Linked DNA regions of Callithrix jacchus. The protein of the gene in region 2 purifies or fractionates together with the protein of the main gene of each other region. This does not show direct contact. Links are inferred from orthologs where the notes say so. Each region holds a gene or a part of one and is shown on either strand. Other genes may lie near its edges.

Region 1 (3,810 bases), on a different chromosome or scaffold from region 2:
GAACTAAATGGTGAAGACTTGGAAGCATTGACGTTTACAGCCACCTTTGAACAGATTTAACAGTAGATTAAGCATCATATACTCAGGGGTATTCAAGTTCTGGTTTGGAGCATCGTGTGCATTTGCCTGTTTTTGTCTGTTAAGCAGATTTAAAATTTATTAACTAAATTTTGGGGATATTTTTGACCCACTGTAACATAATAGAGTAGGGGCTTTAAACTTAGAGACCTGGGTTGGAATCATGCTCCTGCTTCTACTTAGCTTCATGAACTAGTTGTCTGGGCTGTAAATGGAGATGGTGGTGGTACTGACTACCTCAATTTGAGGGAATTAAATAAGATCATGCATGTTAAAGTGCCTGATGCAGCATGAGTACACAGCAAGTGGTGACTGATGCTGATTCTCCCACCCCTTCCTGTTCAGAAATAATTTGTCAGGATTGAAATAGCTCTGTGTTTCTTCATTTGGATTTCAATGAAAGCTGCTTGCTTAAGTTTTTTTTTTTTTTTTTTTTTTGTTACCTATAATATGTAACACTTAGGAATGTAACAGAAAATGCTTTAATTAAATTATTTCATGTGTATTATGGTGTTCTTTATATACAAAGATGTTGTAGGATTGGGTTGTGGGAAGTGCAGTGGCTTAGAGAATGTAAGAAAATGCCAAGCAGCCTGCATTCTTGGATGTTGAGGATTGCTGTGTGGAGCTTTGCAAGGTTCAGTTTGGGGTATAAAGAGACTGTGTTTTACCACCATATAGCACAATAAAAATGTTGGCTATTCTCAGTGCCTGACTCTGAGGAACTAGACCCTACTCCACCCCATATGCCCTTCTTCTGCCAACTTACAACATGCTTCATAACAATTACTTGGACTTTCTGAGCTATTGTCCTTCAATTGAGTTAAGTAATTGTCCAAATAACTGATTTTGATTTGGCTTTTTTTTTTTTTTTTGGAGACAGAGTTTAGTTCCGTCACTCAGGCTGGAGTGCAATGGCACCATCTCTGCTCATTGCAGCCTCAGCCTCCCAGGTTCAAGCAATTCTCCTGCCTCAGCCTCCTGAGTAGCTGGGATTACAGGCATGCACCACCACGCCTGCCTAATTTTTTTATTTTTAGTAGAGACCGTTTCACCATGTTGGTCAGGTTGGTTTTGAACTCCTGACCTCGTGATCTGTCTGCCTTGGCCTCCCAAAGTGCTGGGATTACAGGCGTTGATTTGGCTTTTAAAAGGTTTTTTTTAGGTAGCTCTGTGAAATTTTTTTAATTAGGTAGGTATTTCATATCTCTTGTTGAATAATTCCTGAACTATATTGAGACTAACTTATTCTCTACCTTAAAAAGCTTTGTAATTTTTCAAATTCAGGCAGTACATCCTTTTGTACATCCCTTACTGCCCTACTTCCTTTCCCCAGTCACTGTTTTCAGTTTCTTAATCCATCCTGCCAGCATGTAGAAGTGTATACCTGTATCTTCATCTTTTTTTATGGTAGCAAGTTCTTCACTTGAGTTTGTCAGTAAAAGTGTAAATTGGAGATTTTCCTATCAGCATGCTTGGATATGCTTGTTGTTTTAAAGGGTGCCAGAGAATTCTGTTTTGTTTTTGTTTTTTAATGAGATGGAGTTTTGCTCTTGTTGCCCTGGCTGGAGTGCAATGGTGCAATCTCCACTCACTGCAACCTCTGTCTCCTTGGTTCAGGTGTTTCTCCTGCCTCAGCCTCCTGAGTAGCTGGGATTACAGGCATGTGCCACCATGCCTGGCTAATTTTGTATTTTTAGTAGAGAAGGGGTTTCACTGTGTTGGCCAGGCTGGTCACAAACTCCTGACCTCAGGTGATCCGCCCGCCTCAGCCTCCCAGAGTGCTGGGATTACAGGCATGAGCCACCGTAGCTGGCTGTCTTTTTTTTAAACAAGTTGCTATTGCTTAGTTATGGCTTCCTTACTCTGTTCTTGGGGGAGTGTGTGTGTGTGTGTATCTGTCTGTGCACACTTTTTTTTTTTTTTCTAAGACAGAGTCTCTGTGTCACCCAGGCTGGAGTGCAGTGGCACGATCGTGGCTCACAGCAACCTCTACCTCCCTGGTTCAAGCAATTTCCCTGCCTCAGCCTCCCAAGCAGCGGGGATTACAGGCGCATGCCACCATGCCTGGCTAATTTTTTTGCATTTTTAGTAGAGGTGGGGTTTCACCGTGTTGGTCAGGCTGGTCTGGAACTCCTGACCTCATGATCCGCCTACTTCGACCTCCCAAAAGTGCTGGGATTGCAGACGTGAGCCACCGTGCCCAGCCGCGTACACTTTTTTTACTGTAAGCCAAATCTTGGTAAAATTGCATCTTGTATTTTCTTATTACTAAATTACTTGCCTAGAAGTAACATTCAGTCTTTTTTTTTTTTTTTTAACCATTGAATCCTTTGTGCAACTGAAATTTTTAAACAGATAAATGGCCTAACTTGTGTTGGGGCCTAGAGCCCGTCTAAGTCCTCTTCATTGAGATGGGACCGTGGAGCACAGTTGAAAATTGTGTTCTAGATAATACAAATGGGAAAGCCTTTTTGATAGATACTGGTGAAAAATCACTGCTTGGACCAAGGTGCCAAGAGGTTTGGGCAAGTTCTTCAGCCTCAAGGTGAGTTTCCACAGAACAAGGTAACAAAGACACCTCAGTAAAACTGAGAATGTTCATTTCATAAACTTAGGTCTCATAAACATAAATAAGGGGTTTCACATCAGACCATTTGCACTTACAACCTGTTTTTTTCAGTGAAGAAACAGGCCCCAGGGAGGTTGTGTTTGAAGCAATTGCATTTTAGTTTGATCCGGGACTTAAGCTAAGTTTTTTTGACTCAACACTTTCTGTCCATACTACCTTGTAGAATTTCTTATTGGGAAATAAGAAACATCTACTGTATAAGATATCTTTAGGTGGGAAGAAGATTTTTTTAGGTGATTTATGAGTACGGGGACTGTTGGTGGACTCCTGTGTAGATGTTTGTGTTTACTGAGTTGGGCCTACCTTCCCCAGAGTGCTGCTCTATAAAAGGCAGTATTCACATTGATAATTGAAGCACAGGAGAATAGCTCTTGGGGAAAGAAGCAAGCCTTCTGCATGTCGTAGCTAGAATATTATTTTCTTACACTTGCATATGTGGTGATTGTAAAGTTGGTAACCACACAGGGAGAAGATACACAGTTGATACTAAGTATATATTTGCTAAAGAAATTTGAATGTATTTTGAGGGAACTTGACTGAATTTGTTAGCAACTGGAAATTTCTTAGAGGATTAGTGTGACTTGTTTTCTTTTCTAAACAGACCGGAAGGAAAAGATTATGCCCTTCATTGGCTAGTGCTGGGGACTCACACGTCTGATGAGCAGAATCATCTGGTGGTTGCTCGAGTACATATTCCCAATGATGATGCACAGTTTGATGCTTCCCATTGTGACAGTGACAAGGGTGGTAGGTATATTATATATTCCAATATTGATGTCAAAGGGGATATGCCTCGTTCAAAGCGTGTGCTACTAAAACTATTAGCTTTTGGCCCAGTAATTTAACTCTAGGACTTTATCCTACGGAATTACTCACCCACATGTACATAAGGGATTTTAATCGTAATTGTAGAATTGAAAAATTAAGATCAACCTAGTAACCCAGATGTTGGTTAAGCACATGGTATGTTTGAAATACTACTCAGCAATTAATGAGAAAGGCCAGGTGCCATAGCTCACACCTATAATCCCAGCACTTTGGGAGGCTGAGGTGGGAAGTTTACTTGAGTTGAGGAGTTCAAGCCCAGTCTGGACAACATA
Region 2 (4,497 bases):
CCACAGAAAGGAAAGGCCTAGGGGGCACTCTCCACTGCCTATGGAACTGGACCTAAATTTTTATTTTCTCTTTTTGAGACAGTCTCGCTCTGTCGCCCAGGCTGGAGTGAGTGCCGCGATCTCGGCTCACTGCAACCTCCACCTCCTGGGTTCAAGTGATTCTCCTGCCTCAGCCTCCCAAGTAGCTAAGATTACAGGTGCCTGCCACTATGCCCAGTTAATTTTTTGTATTTTTAGTAGAGACAGGATCTCACCATGTTGGCCAGGCTGGTTTCCAACTCCTGATCTTGTGATTCGCCCACCTCAGCCTTCCAAAGTGCTAGGATTACAGGCATGAGCCACCACACCCAGCCAATTTTCATTCTTTTTTTTTGAGACAGAGTCTCACTCTGTCACCAGGCTAGAGTGGCATGAGTTCGGCTCACTGCAACCTCCACCTCCTGGGTTCAAGCAATTCTCCTGGCTCAGCCTCCTGAGTAGCTGGGATTACAGGTGTGTGCCACCATATCTGAACTGGATCTACATTTCTGACCGGGGCTTTCAAGGTCTTTCACAGACTGCACTTGCCCTCCCGGTCCAGCTCCTTCATCCCACCATCTAACGGCCAGTGCTTGCACTTTCACTTTCTGCCCTCTGCCTCAGCTGTTCCTTCTCCCTATAATGCCCTCAGCTTCTCTTCTGGATACCATTACAATCCCCTTGTCTTTCACTGTGCTCTGGGTCAAATCCCATTTCCTTCTGCCTCCTCTAGGACCTCAGGTCATCAGTGCTCCCCTCTCTCTTTTGTGTCTTCAGCTTCTCCCTCTTAGCAACCTCCTTCCCATGAAACTTTCAATGTGCTTGAGTATTTTCTACCATTAACAAAACACAGAAACACAAAACCTCACCCTTCCACCTGACTGCTCCCTGTCTGCCAGTTCAGTTATACTTTTCAAGGTTTCATGCACACTGGCTGTTCCTAGTTTCACCTTCCACTTGTTCGATGTGTTTCTGTACCCATCGATCTCAGCTGAAACTGATCCTGTACCATTAACCAGTGACTTCCTTATGGGTAATGACAATATTTTTCAGTGCTTATTTCAATTGTCTGCTCGGCAACACTGAACACTGGTAAGCATTCTTTTACTGACTCATCTAACATGTATTGAACATCTAATATATGCTAGGTACTGTCAGGCACTATGGTATGCAGGGGCCCCAAGTGTGACTGTCTTTGACCTCACGGAGTTTACAAGTTCTTGGGAGACAGGGGCAAAGGAGCAGACTATAACTCTGGTATGAGGAGAGTTAAGACCAGGGTATAAGGGAGGGGTATGTAACCAGGACCTGAAGCCTGATGCAGTAGGGAGGGCTTCTAGATGAAGATGGACCAGCTGGGTGAGCTGTGCTGATTGAGTGAGGGAATATTCCAGATCGAGTTAGTAGCAAAGACCCAGAATAAGAGAAGGAAAGCAGCTGGGGTACATGGGTCTAAATCTCAGTGAGAAATCTGAGCTGCAGAGGTTTGGTCATCGGCCTACAGCAAGTTCTTCATGCCACAGGAGAAGGTGCAAGTATCAAGGCAGAATGTGTGTGGTCAGAAGACATCCACAATGGGACTCCCAGGGTCACCAAAGAGGCAGATGAGGAGACTCCTACAAAGGCAGAGGCAAACCCGAAGTCTTGGAGAAAGAATTTCAGAAGGAAGCCAAGTACTTCCCAGCAGTAATTGTACCGATAGTGCCAAGTACTGCCAAGAGATCACCCAAAAGGAAGAATAACCAGTCCTCTCAGCAGATAAGCTCTCGGCCCCCTGCAGGTTCTATTTCGCTGTGATATTCTTCCAGCTTCTCTGGACACTGCTTTGTAGTCCTTTAGAACAGTGCAGACAGCACTCCCTCCAGGAAGCTTTATTTATATCTCCTATTTGCCCATTCTCCCGTCTGTCCTCCCAATCAGCCTATGAGCCTCATTAGGGCAGGGGCTGCACATGCGTCTTATTTGCCTAGCATAGTACTAGCTCACTTGATGACTGGAGGATTTGCAAATACAAATTTAACAACAACAACAACAACAACAAAATTGTGAGGCAGAGATTAGCTTTTACTTTTTGGTAGTCCCAGGTCCCTGTAATGGTAGCAAACTGTCCTTGACACCGATTCAAGTTGTGCATTGTAAGGCTGGCCTAGGTGAGCGTTCACATTCCTCAACAATTTCACTAATGACCTCAACCTGACCTGAAAAGCTCAGTTCTCCAAGCCAGTTCCCAACATTTGCAATGCCTCTTCACTGTTAGTATATTCACTTTGTAAGACGCAGCGTAAGTCCTATCTCTTCCAGAAGCCTTTCTCTCCTCCCGCTGGTTCTGATTATAAGTGAGTTAAGTCACAACCTTCCCTCCTTGCCCCGGGTGCAAAAAACAGGTAACTATTCCTACTCTGAGTGTTGAAGAGCTCGCAGGTGGTAAGGGATGGAAAAGCACATTGTAAAGCGCTGTACACAGGCAATTTATCTTTTCAGAATGGCAGCTCCTCCGGGGCAGGCGCCCAGGGAAGGCAGACCCTCCCCACTCTCACACAGGTCAACCCAACTTTTCCGCAGCGCCCAGGGAGCCTCCTGCTCCCTTCTAGATGAGCCGGCACGGGCCGGAACATTCCTGGCTGGCCCGCGGCCCAGCACGCGTCAGGTCGGTTAAATCGCTGCTTCGGGCTCGGAGGAGGAGATTGTGCCGGCTCTGCTGGACTAACCCGAGAGGCTGAACAAAAGCCATGCATGGCGATACGCACCGCGGGGACTGGGGCCTCTGGCCTCACGACCGAGATTCCCTGAGAGGTGCCCGTGGTTGCCGGTACCGGCTGCTGCCGCCGGCCTCCCGTAAGACCTGCGCGGCTCCCTCTTCTCGAGGAGGCAGAGCCTCGGTGCTTCCGTGTGCTTCATCAGGACGCGACCGTCGACGGTGTTCACAATTGGACAGTTGGGTCCCGAGGCATGCTGGGATACCGCGGGCCGGTCTCCATAGCAACCGGCCGACGTTCACGCAGGCCTTTGGCCTGCAAGGAAGGCCCTGAGGTTTCAGTGCTTTGCAGGCGGCGACCTTCGTCCGTGGCCACCTCCCCACCGTGTGCAAGGGGAGAACCCGGCCCCGATCCCTCCACCCCCAGCTCAAGAGAGTAACGGAGCCAGCTGTGGGTGTGAACACTCATTTATTTACACATTGTCATCGGTAGGCACATACTCAGCCCGGCCTGTTGAAGGGACAGATCTGAGGCTGTCACCCATGGGGCCTGCAGACCCTGCCCTCCTTCAGAGCTCCTGAGGCCGAAGGCCTGAGAGAACCAGGAATTTTAGGCTTCTGCCCAAGAGCTAAGAACTAAATTTTATGCCTTCATCTGATTTCTTTCCAAAAAGTCCATTTCATTAAGTACTCAGCCTTCTTAGCTCCATCCCATTCATACTTTTTGCTCTCCTACCCACCCAAGATTGTTAATAACAATAATAATAATACTGTGATAATATTAATACTTCACATTTGTACGAAGCTTACAGAATGTTTTCACATATAGCGTCTCATCTGAGCCTCCCAACAGTTCTGTGAGGTAGGTATTTTCACCTCCCTTTTTACAGACAGGGTAACTGAGGCCCAGAGAGGTAACGGGATTTACTCAAGGCCACACAGCTAGTTAGTGGTAAAGCTAGGACTAAATCCCAGCACCCCATATTCAAGTCCAGTGTTTCAACACCACAGCTACCTCTGTAAAGTAGAGTCACATTTCTTACCCCAGTCAGGCCTAAGGGTGGCCTGAGGAGCCAAGAGGCTAACTTCTCAGACCAGGGGAGGGAAGGGCTCAGCAGCGTCGGGGAGAGTTGGGGTACTTGGCCTTCAACTCCTGTTTGAACTGGCGATAAAGGATCTTATTGTGCTGATTTTCAGCCTCCTTTTGGGGATGGAACTTCAACGCTTCTTTGAAGCCCTTATGAACCAAGAAACCTTCGTTCAGGACCTCAAAATCAAACCCCACCATGTGCAGCTCGCAGGCCTGTAGGGGGAAAGACGGGTCAGCAAAATTTGATGACATTTACAGGGCTGAGACTGACTTCCCTCAAGCCACAGTCCAGCATCCTCACCCCTCTGGAAGCATCCTGGATCTTCCATACTATCCACTCACCTACTAAACTATGATCCCTCCTGCTTCACTGCCTCTTTTCCATCCAGGGCCACTCCTCGTAACTCCCTGATCCCACCACCCCTCCTGCCCCAACCCCTGCCCTCTCCCTTATGAGCACCTGGCTGATTCGGTTGAAGCCGTACTGCCGAAAGCGCTCGTCAAAGGTGGGCACCTTGCCTCCTGCCACGTAGAATGGCTCCCAGGGGTCCTGCCAAGGCACCACGTAGGCAGGCCGCAGCAGGCTCTCTTCTGGCAGGTTGACCCAACGGGAATAATTGGTGGGTGCCTGGCAGGGGGTGCACAGCCCATAATAGAAGGGCCGAACCTCGCCCACCTGGTAGAGCTGCACCAG

The links.
Region 1: the proteins of BRMS1 (region 2) and RBBP7 purify together in Homo sapiens (affinity purification with mass spectrometry; 3 studies listed by BioGRID and IntAct, counting the BioPlex papers as one, with this or other methods). This does not show direct contact. The link is inferred for Callithrix jacchus from reciprocal best matches to the Homo sapiens genes BRMS1 and RBBP7.

The regions. Positions count from the first base shown.
Region 1 is NC_133524.1:17,122,484-17,126,293, reverse strand, and holds part of RBBP7 (histone-binding protein RBBP7), read left to right. Parts: intron 1-3,311; coding exon 3,312-3,457; intron 3,458-3,810. UniProt on the Homo sapiens protein: Core histone-binding subunit that may target chromatin remodeling factors, histone acetyltransferases and histone deacetylases to their histone substrates in a manner that is regulated by nucleosomal DNA.
Region 2 is NC_133511.1:123,422,310-123,426,806, forward strand, and holds the start of BRMS1 (breast cancer metastasis-suppressor 1), read right to left. Parts: upstream 2,897-4,497; 5' UTR 2,766-2,896; intron 1,059-2,765; exon of another isoform or gene 1-1,058. Other genes in the region: B4GAT1 (beta-1,4-glucuronyltransferase 1), read right to left, coding at 3,825-4,016, 4,264-4,497. UniProt on the Homo sapiens protein: Transcriptional repressor. Down-regulates transcription activation by NF-kappa-B by promoting the deacetylation of RELA at 'Lys-310'. Promotes HDAC1 binding to promoter regions.